Linked DNA regions of Mus musculus. The protein of the gene in region 1 purifies or fractionates together with the protein of each later gene. This does not show direct contact. Links are inferred from orthologs where the notes say so. Each region holds a gene or a part of one and is shown on either strand. Other genes may lie near its edges.

Region 1 (9,554 bases):
TGCTCTCTATACATTTGATTACTAGTTAGAGAATTCCACGGCACATAAGCGCTTACGATTATCAATGGTTATTGTGTACAAAGCAGGAAAACAACTGAAAGCAATATAAATGTCCACTGTTAGAGAATTTGGCTGGATTGTGGTACATAATACAGTTAAAAATATGTAGTTAAAAAAAAAGAACAAATTAGATTTGTTGAGTCTTAAGAGGAATGGAAAGATAAACTTTCATACCCATGCGACTTCTATCCCTAGAGTTTCCACCAGTTATTCAAACTGGCCCTAATCTAGAAGCTGCAGTGAAGGGATGCCACAGATGTAATTAAGCCTGAGTTTAAGAGAGGGGGTCAGCTTCAGTGGGATTAAATGGGTAGGTCTTATCCTGGCATCCATACATGAATGTAAGAAGTCTGCAAACGGAGAGTCTTTGTTCCTGGATGTGAGGACTGTGCTGGCTTCCGAGTGCAAAGAGCAACCTTGAAGCTGGCAGCTAGGAAGGAAAGGGGCGCCTCAGCCCCATCTCAGTCAGGAGCTTAGTTTTGCCAGTGACCAGAATGAGCCTGGAGTGGACCTTCCCTCAGTGCCTCTAGTCAAGAGCCCAGCCTCTCATCAGAAGTCATATGGTGCTCACTTACAGAGAGCCCTGAAGTAATAAATGGATGTGGTTTTGAGCTGGTAAATTTATGATAATTTCATATAGCAGCAGATAACCAATGCAATAGATTATTTTATCAGGAAACGTGATCCTATTCAGCTCTTTCAATAAACATTTGTTGAGTGAGTGTGTATGTGTGTGTGTGAGTGTGTGTGTGTGTGTGTGTATGTGCGCGCGTGTGTGTGTGTTTGTGAGTGAGTGTGTGCATGTGCTTGTGCGTGTGTGTGTGTGTGTGTGTGTGTAGGTGGGGAATCAAGCCCAGGACCTTGTGCATCTTAGCCAAACACTCTACCACTGACTTACCCCATCATTCCTATTTGTTGTGTAACAAAATATCACAGAAAAAGCATGGAAAATCACAAGTGGCTGCTTCTAGATGGGATTGTAGGTGGCTTTCACTTTCTGTTTTTATGCCTATCAACTAGGTGAATTGTTTAGAATAAGTACATATTTTTGGGAAAGAAAAAAAATGGAGCAAAAATATTTGGTGAATATGTTATCCCAGAGGTCTAAATATTACCATGTTCAGTTCTGCCTCAAGGCTTTTTAAAAATTCTTTTTGGAATAAAGTGCAATGTCAGTAAGTAAAATAATCACCTCTCAGGAGTACTGTCCTTTCCGTTTTGGATATGTCTATTAAATATGCTAAGCACTCGTGCGGCTCAGACACCGCCCTCCCCAGCACATCCTGGTCCTCTGCTGCTTCCCTTGGCCAAGTTTAGAGCTCCATTCATCTGGCACTCCACATCCTTCCTGCATGAACCCAGAAGACAGAACCTAACCTAGCACAGAGCCTTTAACCAGATCTGCTTGGACACCAACACTTCTTTACTAAAGCTTGTAACACTGTCTTTCTTTCCTGGCTTAGCATTCGGGGATCTTAATTCAGGTCACTCCTGAAAGTAGCAGCTCAGAGGTGGAACAAACAGGAAATCAAGTTGAGAGACTTATGGCTTGGTGGTTGGATCGAGGTATTAACACCATAATGATCTGAATTTAGAAATTCATATGCTAAGAGATCTTGAGCAGGTCAGCCAGGCTTTGGAGGGCACTGTTCAGTGTGTACAATAGAGACAGATGCCTATTTCACAGAGGTTCCTGTGAGAACTCAATGAGGCAGGTAAGCTCCCTTATCTGGTGTTTGAGACTGCCATCTATTCAGGAGAAGGTAACCAAAATAAAGTCCTGGTTATAAGGGGGTGGGAGGTCCAAAGGCACTGGATTAGGAGTTAGAGTGGCTCCCAAGATGGGAGTCATGAAACAAGAAGCAGAATAGGTTCAGAGCGCCTCTGTCTACAATAGAAAGACCAAATGTCAGCAGAAACCATCTCGAGCTGAACGTGTACTTAATGTCCCTGGCTGCTCCCACTGCTTAGCAACCCGGCGGCACAATGCAGCATAGTATGGATTGTTTACCCTCCTCATGGATTCCCTGTGTTGTCAAGCAACAAGAAGGAATATTTACCACACACTGCTAACCCAGGAAAAGATCCAAACTCAATGCGCCAGAACTGGAGAAAATGGTTCAGCGGTTAAGAGCACTTGCTGCTCTTAACAGAGGACACTTAGATTCCCAGCATCTACGTGGTAGCTCCCAACCGTCTGTAATTCCATTATCAGGGCATCCCACACCTTCTTATGGCCTCTGTGGCACCAGGCAAGCACATGATACAGATAGATATATTTGCAGGCAAACCACTTGTACACATTAAATAAATACATACATAAAAGGCAAATATAGCATAGACCTTAGACGAATACAGTTAACAGTGGGAGTTTGTAACCATCCTGGAATTCATGGTGAGACCTAAAAATAACAAAAACAAAACAAAAAGGAAAGAGTGCATTTAGAGACTCCTACCAAAAAAAAAAAAAAAACAAACAAACAAACAAAAAAAAAAACAAAAAAAAACGCTAATAAGAGTTTAGGAGAGGTGGCCCTGTCGCTGTCTTTCCAGGATTATCGTATCCGCCAGAAGCATGTCACAGAGACTGCACACATAGGGACAACTCAGCACAGAAAGCCTGAAGCCGAGGCATTCTAGATGCCACATTCTGAGGTGCATCTTTCAAAGCTTCCCTGCCTTTACCCAGAGAGCTACGTCGTCTCGGTAGCTTTACTATCCGGTCCAGTAGTTATACTGACCATAACTGTCTTTGTCTTTCAAATGTATATGTTCTAATGTGTCATCCCAGTGTTAACTTGCCTTTAAGGCCTGATAGTGGTGTTTTTGAGAACTGGCAAGAGCCATGTGAAAGGGCCTCGGGTTTCTCCTTATACTCGCTCGGCTCTTGATCTTTCTATGTTTGCAGAAGTCGGTGGAAAAAAAAAAAAAAAAGATTCCAAGAATCCCAACCGATAGGCACCTTACCCTGGGAAGAGCTGTGCGCTCCCAGTGGGCGGGGATTGGGGACGCGCGTGGCCCTTGGGCTTCAGTGGGGCCACTCCATCTTAGAAGCCAGTTTTTACAGTGAATGGAAACTTTTAAGTTTCTCAAAGCGGGGGGCGCCCTCTGATTCGGGAGCGGAGTGGAGATGACCGGAAAAGGCTTTCCCTGTGTTGGGGGGAGAGCACCCCACTCGGAGGCCCGGGTAGTTTCTAGGGACAGCGTCTTGGGTTGGGTATCCCTTCCAGGTCCGGCTCCTGGGCGCACGCAGGTCCGGACCCCTCGGCCTCCGCCCCGGGGAGAGCCCAGCCCAGGCTCCGGTCCCGCCGGCCTCGGAAGTCAGGGCGCGGCGAGGGCGAAGGGCGAAGGGCCAGCGGCTGCCTCGGCGTCCGCGTGTGGCGGGGGCCGTAGGGGGAGGACGCGGGCCGAGGGGGAGGGCGCACATCTCGGCGAAGTTCCCGGATGGTCGCAGCCTCCCGGCGCGGAGCGCTTTTCCTGCCCGCCCCGGCTCAGCCCTGCGGACCCAGAGAGAAGTTTCCCAGAAAAAAATGCCCCGCGCGCCGCGGGGCCGAGGAGCCGCCCGGAGCCGCTGCACGGTAAGGGAGCCGCGCCCCACCATGCAGGGCGCGTCCGGGGTGCACGGAGTTGGGGTGCAGACGGGCGGGTTGTCGGGGCCGCGTCCTCGGCGCCCAGGGGAGCGATCCCCGCTCAGGCCCGCGGTCCAGCCCGCGCGGGAGGAAGGGGCGGCGGCTGCCGGGGCTCGAGATGCCGCGATCCCCGCTGAGCGCTGCGGGGCTGCACCGACCCAGGACCGCCCGTGGACCCGATGGATCTAACCGCGGTCTCCCTGGGATGCCCGGGAACCGCATCTGCAACTCCATCTCCACCGAGGGCGGGTGACTTTGGAGTTTAGGGCTCCCAGAACTTGGCTCCAGTGCTCCCGGGCAGCCTGATCCCGGGTATGGGCGCGCTCTAGGTGCCTATGTCTGCTCCTGAAAGGGCGGCCAGCTCGGGTCAGGGCTTTGCGCCCGGGGCCTCTCCCTAAATCGTGGACCGCTTCCCTTCAGCCTTCATCTCCCGCTACTTTAGCATGCTTTTCTTTTCAAAGAAAGAACAGTGAAACTTAACTAGTGCAAGAGAAATCCAATAGGGATGACCCAGATCCTCGGTTTGTGGCTAGACTTTGAACTCAGATTAACAAAAGGTGTGTCTGTGTGGAACCTGGTTTGACTGGGTCTTGCTTAATCTCCAAGGAATATCCCCGGGCTATAGGCTCCTAACCCCTCAGGGTTTCTACAGTGAGCAGATTTGGTCTCTTTCTCTGAAAATCGCTAGTCTGTCTTGGATCTTCCTTGCCCTTCATCTCTCTGGTTCCTGAGCGGGCCTGCAGGTAGACCCACAGGGACAGCGGACACGTGTGCAGCCTGGGTAGGTTTTCTTTTAACAGCTTCCATATAATTTGAATACTGTATTTTCATTTGATAGATTTTTTTTTGCCTCCTCAAAAAATGCTTATTTCAATAATTGATAAATAACTTAAAAGTTTGTAGATCATGTTTTTGACTTCTTAAAGAGAGAAAGTCTTTCATAAACTATGGGCTCTCTGCTTCTTACAGTGCTCAGGGCACTGCCTTCTACCCTGATTACCTGCCAGTTGCGGTTCACCAGGCTGATCCTCTCAGAGGCATGGGGTGGTGTACACATATGTGTACAGATCGTACACATATCTGTGAGTGCCGGTTGCCGGCTGAAGAGAAGCTGCAGACTGGGTTTTCCAAGTGTTCTGGATCCGCTCAGCGACATCACCGTCTTCCCTGAGTAGCTTTTCTCTTTGGGAATCACATGAGCGCTTTTAGATTACGTGATGGAAAGCAAAGAGATCTGAAAGCAGGGAATGATCAAACTCTGGGATAGAAAGGGAGAATGAACTTATTTGCAGATGGAGGGATTCGCATCTTACTTCCGTTGTCCATTTCACACATTTTCTTCTGTGTGTTTAGCTACTGCCGGATGCCCTTAAACCTACTGTGTGACTCGGTTGACAGTCTTTCCACCGCTGGGTGTGAGGCTAGAACAGGATAACAGGTTATGAGACAGCAAGAAGCAATTTGATACAAAGTAACCAGTCACCAGGCACCGTGTAACAACAAGACACAAGAGCAAAAAGGAACTGCCAGAGAGTTGGTAGGTAGCAAAGAGCAGAATGCCTGTGTCTTTTAAATTGACCGTGCCAAGGTGCTTTGGCCGCCATGAGCCAGGTTTCATGAATGTTCATGATACTCCGTTTTTTCTCACAGTCTTGGATAACTGAATGTGTTCCTAACTATAGCTGTAGTTTTAAAGTTGAGCACTTTCCACGGTGATGCCAAATATTCTTTTATTCCTTTTATACTTTTATTCTAAAGTACACAGGACATTTTTATTTCTTGCTGCAACCTGTTCATTTCTAAGAACCTGGGAATCTAGGTCCCAGAGCTCTGGCCATCCTGGGGCCTGTCCTCCAATGGAGTCTACTAGATTTCTGATGATTTCCGTACGGAGGCCCCACTGAGCTGCCTTCCAGCAACCCACGTAGCCAGGCCACCAGCCCCACACACGCCAATTAGGCTGCAGCTGGAATCAAGCTCATGGCTCTTTGAGCATCGAGGGTCTTTACTGGAAGATGCTGTCATGCTCTCCGCTGGGTAGAGTTAGCTCAGAAGGACTTGTCCTGGATGTTTACCATCACTGTAGACAACCTTGTTTGGAACAGCAGAGCTGGAAGGCAAATGTGGTAAGGTAGGGGAGAACAAGGGGTTCAAGGAGTGGGATTCCTTCCAGCTGCTGGGAGTCGGCCTTTCATTGGCTCCTTCCGTTAGCAATTACTTATCACTGTGTATGTGCTTGCCATGGAGAGATTCGAAGGCGCCTTCACATTCTGTCCCTCTGTCCAGCTTCAGTTGAGAACCACTCCTGGTTTCACTTCCCCGGGACAAAGGACTTCCTCACGGAGCCTCCCTTATACTGCTCAACCCTAACAAATGCAGCTGCTGCCTCCCCCCCTCCTCCCCGTGGGTATTACAGTCAGGTTGAGATCACTAACTGACTCATGGATACATTTGGACAAAGAAACCTCTGAGGATCAGTTAGTTGAGTAGTGTTATCTGCTAACGTGTGGATCAGTGTGGAGTAGGCTGGGTCGTGGTTAGCCATGTGTGACTAGAGGCTTCCAAAGGCTCAATTCTGCGAGTGTGGAGTGAGGGGTGTGAGTCTTGGTTTGGCTTGTTTATAATAGGTAACCTTGGCTGGCCTGAAACCTGCCATATAGACCAGACTGGCCTTGAACTTGGAGCAGTCCTCCTCCTTCTGCCTCTCAGGTCCTGGGATTACATGCATGGGCCTCTGGCTCTAGAGAATTCACATTTGAGAGCCCACAGGTGATGCCAGTGTGCTGAATATAGTTAGTTTCCATGTGGTTACTGCATGGACCACGAAGTCTCCTTAATCTTGTGACTGGTACAAGTACTCTATCTTACAAGGTCTTTTTTTCTTTACCCCTAAAGTGAGATCAACAATCTCTACAAGAGGATTGCTATGAGGGTCATATGTGGTCACATGCACAGTATACTTAGCAGGTTGTATTTAATGGTGCTGTTGGTGTTTGTGGGCCATTATCATTAACATTATTATAATCAGTGTGGACGCAACAAAATAGCCTACATATAGGAGCCGCTTTTAGTATAAATTAACATATAGTCTCTGGGATGCCCATGATCTATCACATGTTTGACATTTACCATGTAGCTCCAAGGAGAAGACTCTTGATGTCTGGGATCTGCAGTGTCTGTCCACCCAGAAGAGCCTACACTGCTGAGGTTTTTAGGGGCAGATTAAGGACAGGGAATGCAGAGACAGCATGCATCACTTTCTTAGCCCCTTGGCACCAGGAAATATTGGTTATCATGACCCTCCATCCATGGGAGTGGAGTTTAACAAGTATATTAGCTGCTTCTCTCAGTCCAAGCAGCTTTGATCTCAGGTGTGTAGCCCAAAGCCCAGTAGCTAGAACACCATTTCTTCTTGTGGCCGGACAGCTCGTGGGACCGCAGCATTACAGCCTGCTGTTAGTCACAGATATTTACTGAGAACACAAAAGCAATAAACTTTGCTACTCAGTGAAAGAACACAGGTGAGGGTAACGAGATGTAACTATCTACAGCTTTTGTATTGTAGTCTTGATTGCTATGACTCACATAAAAATGTCTCTGTTACATTTTAATGTTTACGATAAATGAATTTTTCTCTTTGAGCAAGCCATTTCTTTAGTATAATTCATGTTGCCTTTTGGTTTTGCCCTATCTCTCAGTTATACTAGTGTGCATTTTGCTTTTCTTTTTGGCAGTGCTGAGGTTTGAACCCAGTGATTCAGACATGCTAAGCAAGACTCTATCACTGAGCCAAATTATATTAATTTAAAAAAATTTTAAAAATTATTATTTATTTATTTTTTGTTTGTTTTTCGGGATAGGCCTTGAACTCAGAGGTCAACCTGACTCTGCTGCCTGAGTTCTGGGACTAAAGGCATGTACCACCACCCAGCCCAATTAAATTAAGTGAATGAAATTCTTCAAAGCCTTCAGTGATTTTGGTGGCACACACCTTTAATCCCAGCACTTGGAAGGCAGAGCCAGGCAGATCTCCAAGCTCAAGGACAGCCAGGACTACAAAGAATCTCTGTCTCGAAAAACCAAACAACAACAACAAAAACCATTGGCTATTCTAGAACAGAAAATGTGTTAGGACAAAGTCTGCCGTCATTTAAGCTGGGTGGTGATGGTGTGCCTTTAATCCCAGCACTCAGGAGGCACAGGCAAGTGGAAATCTGTGAGTTCAAGGCCAGTCTGATCTATAGTGTTAGTTCTAGGACAGCCAGAGCTACACAGAGAAACCTTGTTTTTAAAAACAAAACAAAACAACAGCAAAATCAAACGATCCAGAGGCTGGAGAGATGAGTGCCTGCGAGCTGCATGAATGCAGGTGTCCATGGAGACCAGAAGAGCATATTGGATCTCGTGGAACCAGAGATAAAGATGGTGTGAGCCACGGAGTGGGTGCTGAGCATCTCCCAGCTCCTCCCTCCCCACTCCTCTCTCCCTCTTTTCTTCCTTCCTTCTATGACTCCTCTCCCTTCCCTCTTCCTTCCTATAATGTTACCAGTCATATGCCGTTTAGTTGATTCATTGAATATTTGTGCAACTCTGTGAGATTTCTGTTTATTTGGTGTGTGAGGCTGAGTTTCTTAGCTAGTGACAGGGTTAGTTCAGACCTGAGCAGCCTTATTCCAAACCCTGCACCTTTGACTCAGCCCTGTCCCCACCTTTGTTGGACATGACCCTCCCATTCCTGACTTCTGCTAACCTGTGGTTCCCATTCCCATCTAAGTGCCTTTCTGGCAACATCCCTTCCTCTGCCCTCTCTACATACATCTGTAGGTGAGTTCTACAGACTTTTCCGATTGGTCACACATCCTTAGGAAGACAGAAACAATAGGCTTTGTTACTACTCTGTACAAGGACATAGGAAAGCGAGCGGGAGGCACCGTTAGCCACACACCTCTGTGCTAACGATGGTAAGCATGGCTCACACTGTGTGAGAACTCATTCCTATACACTGAAACACTCCCTGCTCCCTTGGCTCATTTCTCTCAGTCACCTGTCCCTTTCTCTCAGTCACCTGTCCCTGTTAGCTTAGTCCTCACCTGCCCATGATTTCTGTTCTGTCCTGTATTCCAGTCTTTTCTAACCCCTGTTAGACGGCAGACTCTTCAAAGTAGTCACTTTTTAAAAACATTAATTTTTACGCTTATTCCCCTCAAATGCAGTTCGTTTTTTACTCATCATTAAGCGATGGCAGCTTCCTCGCCCTGTCAGTCAGAGTTGAGGTGAAGGACTCGGAAGTTAAAACAGACCCTGTTTTGCAGAAAACTCTAAGATGTCGGGAAACATGTTTTAACCTAAAACTGGACTTTTTACTCAGGGTGATCTGTATAAAGTGACATTCATTGCCATGGTTAATTTAACTGTACAGTATCTTTATATCCAGAATAGGATATAGTTCTGATAACTCATAGGATTTGTGTTCTTATCGACCATTATTGGAGCTCCTAAGAGGTGATATTCTCCGCTCTAATACAGCCAGAGACAGAGGTAGGTAGACCCCTATAATGAGGCAAGTAGGGACAAAAAGCTCTTGACTAATCATAGGAGTAAAACCTTGAGGTGACACAGGCCAACAGCCAGGAACATCCTGAGGGAGCATCCAGTAGTTAAGACCCAGGCCTGGGGACCCCACAACCAGCCTGAGATAAGAAAAGCCCAGAAATACAAGTTATTTTAGGAAACAAGGCCAACCTACTTCCTCCCATTCATAGTGATTCCTGAAAGGGGAGAGAGGTGGGGGACAGTCCCCAGACCCAAACGAGAGCTCTGTCCAGCCTAGTGAGTGCTCCTTTAGATAAATCAAAGTGACTTTTG
Region 2 (9,598 bases), on another chromosome or scaffold:
TTCTGTTGACGTGACTGATCATTAAGGTACTGCCTTAGCTCCCGTCTATACTTTCGTATGTGATGCTAAGGCTCAGCCCCACATGTTTCACTTTTCTGATGCTACCAGTATCTCTCACAGGGTTCTGCCTACAAAGGACATTACAGAGGGGCTGAGCCCGATGGCATAGGGCTGTAATTCTAGCTACTTGGGAAGCTGTGGCAGGTGGATCACAAAGTTCAGGGTTAGCTTTGGCAACTTACTCAGACTGGTTTTCAAAAAAAAGAAAGTCTACTGGGGATATAGCTCATACTATGTAGCAAGCTGCTTTAGGCTCAACTCCCAGCACTGCAAATTAATGAATAAACGAATAAATAAAAGCAAATAAGTCAACAGGGGGAGATTAGAAGGCAAAAACTGAGCCCCCAGTACTGCAAATAAACAAACACATACACACACACACACACATACTTGACAAAGCAAACAAGTCAATAGATTAGATGGCAGGAGAGGGACTTCCCTCTTTCCACTTGCCTTATCATTTGCTGTTTGACTTGATTTTACCCTTATTTTTGGGATTACTTTTGGCATTATTCTACTTGCACATCATTCCCTGAGCAGTAGAAGAGCCAACCTGAGAGCTTCCTCCTGGAGGTCTGAGCTATATCCCAGCTGGGTCATGCCTTACTGCTCAAGTGCTTTAGTCCAGACTTGATCTCCCTTTTCACTAGCCCTAGGGGTGGTAGCTGATCCACAAAGCAACTTCCTTTGGGTTACCTCAATGTCATCTCTGGCCCCTCCCTGCATTTTATTTTATTTTATTATTTATTTTGTGATCCTCTGAGACAGGGTCTCACTATATACCCATGCTGGCTTTGAACCTGGGGTGATCCTCCCAATAATGGGGTGACAGGCATGAGCCACCAAACCTGGCGTCAGTTTTTTCAGTCCATTAACACATAATCCTAAATTTCCTCCATTGTGGTAAAATGTGATTTCTGTTTTTCTGAATAAAATGTTTCTAAATTATCTCCAAACAAATCCAAATCCATTAGCAAGGTAGCCAGCGTTGGGAAGTGTTGATACTTAAGATTTTCAGGGATTACTAGACATTAGATATCAACAGACATTATGCAAACTGAGCCAGACATAGAGCTATAAGCCTGTAATCTCAGTGTCTTAGAAAGCTGAGGCAGGATGCTCCTAAATTTGAGGCCAGCTTGGGAGATTCAGTAAGACCCTGGGCAGCATATGTCCACATATGTAATCTTGGGTGTAACCTGCTAAGGGTGAGCATAGACATCGTTGGGAACAAGCTAGAGAAACTCATTCTAAGGATTTCATTTTCAGACTCCATTTCATTTTCAGACTCCATTCGACTATACAGAGAAACTAAATTCCAGGTCCCAGGTCCCAGGGGAGCTGGGGATTCCCAGTAGCTGAACAGCTTCTGTCGTAAGGAAACAGTTGCCTGAGTCCAGACATCTCAAGGACAACTTCTCCATCTTGTCGGCAGCGTCAAACAAGTTCCTGTTCCCAGGCCCAGGGACCAACTCCAGTCCTGATGGATGGACACTCCCTTGTTCAATCCTTATGTCAAAGTATGATTGGACAACGGTATGGCCTACCCTGCTCCCCCTTGCTCTATGGCTTAATGTGAATGAAATTTCTTTAATATAAATGTGGCTGTGAATTAATCTGGTGACTGTATTTATTTATGTTATGCTAGTCCCCAGTAACTTCACAGAGAAATCAAGATTTATTTAAAACTACGCCTCATTACCCATAGTTAAGTGATCTATCCTAAACTTCTGCGCTAATGTGGCTACCTCCCAGCCCCATCCCGTGATAATGACCCAGCTCTTCAGACCCCTTCTTCATGGCTCCACTTCCTCCATCCTGCTGCTGATCTGAATCTCCCTCTCTCCCTCTCTCCTTCCTCTGGCTGGTGGGTGCGACTGTCTTTTCTACCCAGCCACTGGGTGATCAGCATTTATTGACAAGGCACAGAATAAGAACTGTTTTACACACAAACCTGAGACAGGAGATTCTTGGTATAAGCATTACAATGCTGTGTCTGGACTGAAACAAGGTATGAGGGCAGAGAAATCAGCATTTGATTAACACAGTGTATAAAAACATTATGCCTACAGTTTTATCCTTTTTAAAAAATTTTTATGCTGTACAATGTCCTTTCAGGGTCATAGTTCAGCTCCTGTCACTGTGGTCTTTAGAAGACGAGTTGGGTTCCTAGCACCCACTCGCAACTAACAACTGTCTGGTATTTCAGTTCCAGAATTTGGTGCCCTCTTCTGGTCTCTGAGGGAACTGCATGTAAGCAAAACCCATCACACATAAAAGAAAGTTGGTTTTTTTTTTTTTTTGAATTGCTACTTGCTTCTCAGTAGAAACAAGAGCTAGAAAACATCAGAATGATCTACTGAAAAAGTACTGAAAAACAACTCTTTAGTGAAACAACTCTTTCTCATTTCTTGTAGGATAAACTCTAAGGACCTCAGCTTTCCTAACACATTGCTTCAAATCTAGCCACTGTCTGCTCCATCAACATTACTATAATTGCTTAATGTCTTTAGACTTGGTAACTCCCTCCCAAGCCCTTCTTTTTGCTCAAATAGTCTTACTACACATTTCCCTCTCATTGTGGCTTAATGCCCATCTGTCCCTACATACAACTGTTGATATGGTTAGCACAGAAATAATACAGGTTGGTTTAAATCTCAATATCTGACACTGGTGTGGACTCAAGATCTGCAGTGCCTATTTTAGCACCTTCCATACAAGGTAGACTCTTTCCTATAACAGCATAACTATACTAAATCCAGAAGTTAAGTTTATTTAGTAGGGCCCACTAATGTTTACACTTCAATATCAAGTCTGTGATAACTTCTTGATAGCAGATAGGTAGGATTTTCTTCCTCCTAAACATTACTGTATGATAGGGACACTAAACTAGGTCATTCTAACTATATAAGCTGTCAATAGCTTACTGGGAAAGGTCTTAAGATATGGAGGATTCTTATTTCCTTTATTACCCCAAATATCCTCCTTTGGAGTTAATGGGGGTCAGCTGCCTGTATGTTTTTGCTTTTGAGATAGCATCTCTCTATGTAGCCTTGACTGTCCTAGGATTTGCTACATAAACCAGGGTGGCCTTGAACTTGCAGAACTTGAACCTGTCTCTGCATATATATATATATATATATATATTTGTCTTTTTGTTTTTTGAGACAGGGTTTCTCTGGGTAGCCCTGGCTGTCCTGGAACTCACACTCAATCTGTAGACCAGGCTGGCCTCGATCCACCTGCTTCTGCATGCATCACCCCCTTCTCTTCGGTATGTATGTTTTTAAATATATAATTTGCATTACTTACTTTTGATACTAACAATAGGCAGAGTATCCTTTCCCCAGTTTTATGTTCTACTTTTCTCAACTAAACTCAGGATTAAAAGGGGCTACAGGTAACTTGTATTTTACCTAGGGCAGGCCACCCATGTATTTATTAACATGCAATTAAGTTAAAAGCAGAAAACAACTTTTTAGGATTTACAGGTAGGGCTTGTAGTATAGCTAAAGGAAGGGGCTGAGATTCAGTGATTAAGAGCGCTGGTCTTCCAAGGGGCCTGAGTTTGATTCCCAGCACCCACAGGGTGGTTCAAAACCATCTGTAACTCCAGTTCCAGAAGATCCTATACCCTCATTTGACCTCCATGGGCAGCAAAATTATACACAAGTATAACACAAGTACACCAAACACTCGAACACACAAAGAATAAAAATGAATTTTTAAAAGATGAAAGGAAGCTGTATTAATTCCTCGATTGTTGAGGATGATGTGCTAGGCACGAGGTGGGCGTGGGTGAAACAGTTCTTTTAATAGACTTTGCAATCTAGGTATATGGGTGCAGCTACGCTGGAGGCAAAAACTCGTGTTTCCATAAAATTACCTAACCTAGAATGTTTCTTTTAGGTGCCACACCCACACTAAGCAACAAAGGTGATTGGGAAATAGTGAGGCAGGTTATGAGTCGCTGTAAGGCAAGTTAGGAAGGAGAGCCGATTTATTGATGCCTTCCTTGGCAGGTGGCTGGGACTGTGCCACTGCCATACTCACCCCTAGGGCAGAAGTAACTGTCCTTTTCACAGGACTGGAAGCCGGGAATGAAGGCTACCCACGCGCCAGGGCACTCGGAAGTTGCTCGCAAAGCTTATTTTGGTTGTGGTTTTCATTAACAAACATCTTACATTTTTCCCCCGAGGCTTCATTTTCTTTGTCGCTCCCTGTCCCTAAGATCTGCAGCTGGTCGGCCCTTTCAGATGCAGGCACCAGAGTAGTCTGGGTTGAACTCGGGACCGCTGTTCGACATTAATGAGCGATTTAAAATGAATGACAGGTTTTAGTAGCAGTGGGAGAGGCGGAAAGTAAGCAGCCACCGAGGAGGCTAGGGGAGAACAGGGCGGTGGGGCCCGGCGCTCCTCACCTTCTGTCCAAAGGCCGCGCAGTCTCAGCTCAGGGACCACTCAGGGCCCGCGCTTGATTGACAAGCCCGCTCGCCCAATCCCGGAGCGGCGCATTCCGCTGAAGCGTCAGGGGCGGGCGCAGGAGGCGATGGAGCCTATTAGATTGGGCGTGGAGCGGGTTTCCTGCCCGCAACGGTCCGCCCACCGGTTGCGCGCGCCCCGCCCCTCTCCGAGAGCTACGCGGCGGCGCAGCACAGGCCTCGTGCGGTAACGGCATCCGGGCAGCCGCGGTGGCGTCCCGGTGCGGTCCTCAGGTGACTGGAGCCGAGGGCTCGGCGGAGGGAAGGTGAGACGGCCTCGCTCGCGTGCGGACACACGCACAGTCCTTTCGGTCTCCCGGTCGGTCCGCTCTGCCTGCTAGTCTCTAGTCGCTTCCTCTTTCCCCGGCGAAGTTGGCCCGGGGGCGCCGTCTGCTGGCGGCGGAGCGGAGCGGAGGGGGCGGGGAGGCCGCTCGGCGGAGCTCGGGTGTCCGCGGTGCAGCCCGGTGACCCCGCGGCCTCTGGCCTGAGCTGCGAGCGCCGGTCGGGGAGGCGGGCAGGCAAGTGTGCGGCGCGCTGCCTCGGCGGTTCTCCGCAGAAAGCCCTGTCGGCGGTCTGTGTCGGTGTCCGAGGCCGGGACGGTAGGCTGGCAGGAAGGGCGCTCTCACCTCCAGCCGCCAGCCTGAGGAAGCCGAGAGGGGGGACATCCTCGGGGCGCGCCCTCCCCTCCCCCTCCCGTTCCGGAGCAGGAGAGATGTGGGTGTCCGGGGGCTGTTGAGGTGGGGTTGGTCCAGGAAAAGCAGTCCTCTGGGTTGGTTTCGTACTGTTGTCGTACGGGTTTCCGTGCTAGGTCGGTTCAGTGTTAACAGCTGGGTTGGAAGGAAGCTGGTTTTTTGTTCAGGGTTGAGGACCGTAACATGACCGGTTAACGTCGAGCCGAGCTGAAGTCACCCGAAGAAAAATACTGCCCTTAGTTAGGAAAGAATTCACAGGAGTTAGGAAAGAACGAGATGAAGAAAACTTCCTGACCCCATCTTGGGTGGGGAGCAGTGAGAATCCAGGGTTCGGCCAAAAAAACGGGTCAAGTTTTGCAAGAAGCGTTCCATTTTCAAAAGCTTTGGTAGCTTGATGATGATCAATCAGCCTTAACGGTTTCTTAAGCACCTGGAAATCAATTGTGTGCTTTCAGCCTTTAGCGACGTCACAACATGAACAGAGAAATAGTCCAAGGAGAAAGTTTTGATTGATCATTTTCAGTCTTGTTTTTAAATAGATATTCTCTTCACATCGTGATAGTTAAGTCAAAGCGTATGCGTTGGTTGATTAGTACTTTTTTTTCATCGTGGCCACATGTGGTGCTTTCTCTGGGAAAACTTCTGTAGGAATTGGCTAGAGTAACTAAAGCGTACATTGTGTTGATGTCTCCGCTGTATGTATGAGCATTATGTTTGAAAAGATTTGCCTCCCCAGCAAGCATTTTAAATTGTTTAGGTTTCCAAGCCCAACAGATCCGTGTATTAATAAGTCGACACGTTAATGTATTGCCTTATTAAACATTGAGTGATAGTTTATGCTGCTGATTTTCTAATTTGAGAACTTCGTTCTAGAGTTCAAGGCTTGTTGTGATTATTATTGTAAATAAATTCCTTCTCAGGAGAACTTGAAAAAAAATGAATTAACTCTGGCAATGTGGAAGAATGGATGCTTTCAATGCCAGAAAATCAAATGATTATTTCACTGTTAAGTAAAATTGGAGGAAACGTGAACTGAGCATTTAACAAATCCAACAGTTTGACGACAATTTGACAGGCCTGCCTGATTCTCACTTTAACCTATCAAGGAAATAGAACTTCAAAGTCTTCCCTTCACAACTGATGCCCCACGCCTCCAAGCTGTCTTTCATTAGCGATACATTAGTAGCATGCTTTCAGGAACCCAGACATAAACCTTAACATTGTACTGTTTTTTTGTAGTTGTTTTCTTTAAAAAAAAAATCTTACCTTTGTATTCTTATATATTGTTTTTCAGTTTCTGAACTACTCAGTAACTCTAACTGGATTTTCTGCCTGGAGGATCTCAAATGTGTTCTGCCTGTGCTGATCTTAAAATAATACTTTGAACATATTTTTCACTGTTTAGACACTAGTAATATCTTTCCTCTAGATTCCAGTCTTTTAAGGGTTTATTTTTATTTTATGTGTTTTGTAGTGTTTTGTACGACATGTGCTGTGGACTCTGGGGACAGAACAGAGATCCTCTGCAAGAGCTCTTAACCACTGAGCCATCTGTCCTAATACAGAAACATTCTCTGCAAACTACTAACTTTGCAAAGGAAAAGTTCGCTAAGCTTTCCTTCTTCCTTAATTTCCTTCCTCCCTTCCCCGCCCTCTCTTCTCTTTCCCTCTCCTGTCTCTTTTGCCTTCCCTCAGTTTTGGGGTGAGACCAATGGCTTCTCATAAACCTTTGAGGTGTATCATCAGTCTAAAGTTCTATTTTTTAAAAAAGTGATTGGTTATTATATTTTCTACACCCAGAGTCAGGACAGCTTGTGAGGGGTCAGTTCTCTGTCCCCCACAGAGGTCCCATGAAGTGAACTCAGGTTTTTAGGCTTGGCTGTAGGTACCTTTAACTACAGAGGCATCTTGACACCCATCCAGAGTTACATTGTTTTACATATTGTTAAACATTTTTAAAAAGTGTGTGCTTGTATGTATGTTGAGGGCATGATATGTGCACAAGAGGCAGGTGCCTGAAAAGGGAGGCCAGGAGAAAGTGTCAGATACTTACAGGGGGTCACAAGCCTCCTGTTGTAGGGAATCAGCCTTGGATCTTTTGCAAGAACCATACTTGAATTTAACTGGAGACATCTTTCCAGTCCCTAGAAATTTAATTGTGATTTGAGTGAAGGTTGTCAAGATTTTCTGTTACCTATGTTAAACTGAGTCTTTGTTTGTTTGTTTCGCACGCCCTCTTTCTTTTTAAGTTAGCGCACAGAGCGGTGTGTTTTGTGATGACATTTGCTTGTGTAGTTATTGCTGTGCTTTTTTCTTAAACATCCTTTCCCCAGCTGACTTTTTTTTTCCCCTTGCTTTTTAATTTTATATGGATTTGTGTCATGATATCATGGAACGTTGTTGAAACACTGGAATCTAGCCTTTTGTTTTCTAGATTGAGAACGTGAAATCCATGCTAAATATCTACTGACATGTCCACATCTTGATGTTGGGGCAGAGCTGAGACTCAAAGTCATCTTATTCAAGTGTCATGTGTTCTTTATGATACCATATTATTACCTTGTGCAATATGTAATTTTCATTTTGTGTTTTCCCCCTAGAGATCCAACACTTTTATTTTGAGGTGGGCTCTCAAATCGTTGCTCTAAATTGTTGCTCAAATTTTGTTCTAATGTGATCTTCCATCTCCTGATTTCAGCCTCCCAGTAGCTGGGATTCCGGGCATATGACCTTTTAATTTGTATTTTTCAGACTCCATATATTAGAAGTGTTAACAAATTCAATTGTCTGTGTAGTTGAGTCCTGTAGCCCCCTAAGAAGTGTAAGATGGTGCTAGGGATGTAGCTCCGTGATGGACAGAGGGAGTTTGGATCCTCAGCACCTAAGAGGAAAGACAGTGAATGGCTGCCTTTCAGGTTTTACTGTTAGAATTTATTTTCCTTGTCTTATTTGGTAAAAAGAATGACTCTTTGGGGGATTTGAAAGGATATTGCAATGGTTTGGTGGGAGCTTGGAGGGTTTATCATGTATCTAAATGTTATGAGTTAACTAAATGTTCTTTTCTGGGTGTTAAAACAGTAACACTTTCACATTTTGTCTGTCAAGAATCAGTTTTGCAGTCTGCTTGTGTTAAACACATTGTAAAAATCACTTTCCATTTTGTAGAGTTAGAGCTTTTTATTTTTTTAACTCTAAAGTTTGTTAATAAAAGCAGTGTTGGGTTGCCTATAATGAGTTCAGTGGTACAAGACAGCACAGAAAACTGCCAGGTAAAGGTTTTCTGAGTCTTTTTGCCTATCCTCCCTTTTTTTGTGTGTGTTAAAAGGTTTCACTGTATAGCCCTGGTTGAGCTGAAACTTACTAGGTAGACCAGGCTGGCCTCAGATTCACAAAACATCCTCCTGTCTCTGCCTCCCAGGTACTGGGTTTGAAGGTGTACTTTACCAGGCCTCACTGAGTGCTTCCTTTTTTGATCTGAAAAAGATTAGAAGCTTTTTTTTTTTTTTTTTTCCAGATATGTTTTGGTTGGTTAGTATGGCTTGTTTTTTTATTTGTTTAAAATAAACTGCCAAATCCTAGAACTCAGACTGAGGCAGGAGAATTACAGGTTTGAGGTTAGCTTGGACTATGTAGTACAGTCTTATCTTAAAACAAAATTACAAGTTAAAAAGTCTTTTTAGCCTGGTATAGTTATAGTGGTGCATACCTTTATTCCCAGTGCCTGGGAGGCAGAGAAGCAGGGTGATTTCTTGTGAGTTAGAGGCTAGCCTTATCTACAAAGCAAGTTCCAGGACAGCCAGAACAAACAAGAGAAACTCCATCTTGAAAAGCAAAAACAAACAGAAAAATTCTGTTGAAAATGCTGATTCTTATTTATTCCTGAAATTATCTTTAGTGATGTGCAAATTATATATAAATATGGTATGGGTGATGTCAGCGTTTCTTGAGATGATTTGAATAAAGTATATCAGTGAGAATGTGTGGAAAATTTGTTTCAGGCTGGTTTTGAACTTACTCTGTAGTTGAGGGTGGTGTTGAACCTCCTGATCTTCTGCCTCCGCGTCCCTTAAGTGGAGGCCGTCTTTGTGTATGCAGTGCTGGATCTTGAACTCAAGGCTTTGTTCTTGCTAGGAAGGCACTCTACCACCTGAGCTATGTCCCTAGATCAGTTTCTGAATCAATTTCTAAATCATGTTGTTGTGTAGATCAACTCAAATAATAGAATAATTTGGCACAATGTGGCATCTTTAAAGCATTCCAGCTCTATTGCAGAAACATAAACAGGGGATTGGAAACATTTCCTTGGGAGAGGCAGAAATTGTGGAAGCTGCTATGGGCTTTCTTTCTATGTCTTACCAATCTTGCT

Evidence for each region.
Region 2: the proteins of Wipf1 (region 1) and Nck1 purify together in Homo sapiens (co-immunoprecipitation; 5 studies listed by BioGRID and IntAct, with this or other methods). This does not show direct contact. The link is inferred for Mus musculus from reciprocal best matches to the Homo sapiens genes WIPF1 and NCK1.

The regions. Positions count from the first base shown.
Region 1 is NC_000068.7:73,523,411-73,532,964, reverse strand, and holds the start of Wipf1 (WAS/WASL-interacting protein family member 1), read left to right. Parts: upstream 1-3,477; 5' UTR 3,478-3,638; intron 3,639-9,554. UniProt on the Homo sapiens protein: Plays a role in the reorganization of the actin cytoskeleton. Contributes with NCK1 and GRB2 in the recruitment and activation of WASL.
Region 2 is NC_000075.6:100,541,203-100,550,800, reverse strand, and holds the start of Nck1 (cytoplasmic protein NCK1), read left to right. Parts: upstream 1-4,666; 5' UTR 4,667-4,696; coding exon of another isoform or gene 4,697-5,344; intron 5,345-9,598. Other genes in the region: Gm46139 (synapsin-1-like), read right to left, coding at 4,697-5,344. UniProt on the Homo sapiens protein: Adapter protein which associates with tyrosine-phosphorylated growth factor receptors, such as KDR and PDGFRB, or their cellular substrates. Maintains low levels of EIF2S1 phosphorylation by promoting its dephosphorylation by PP1.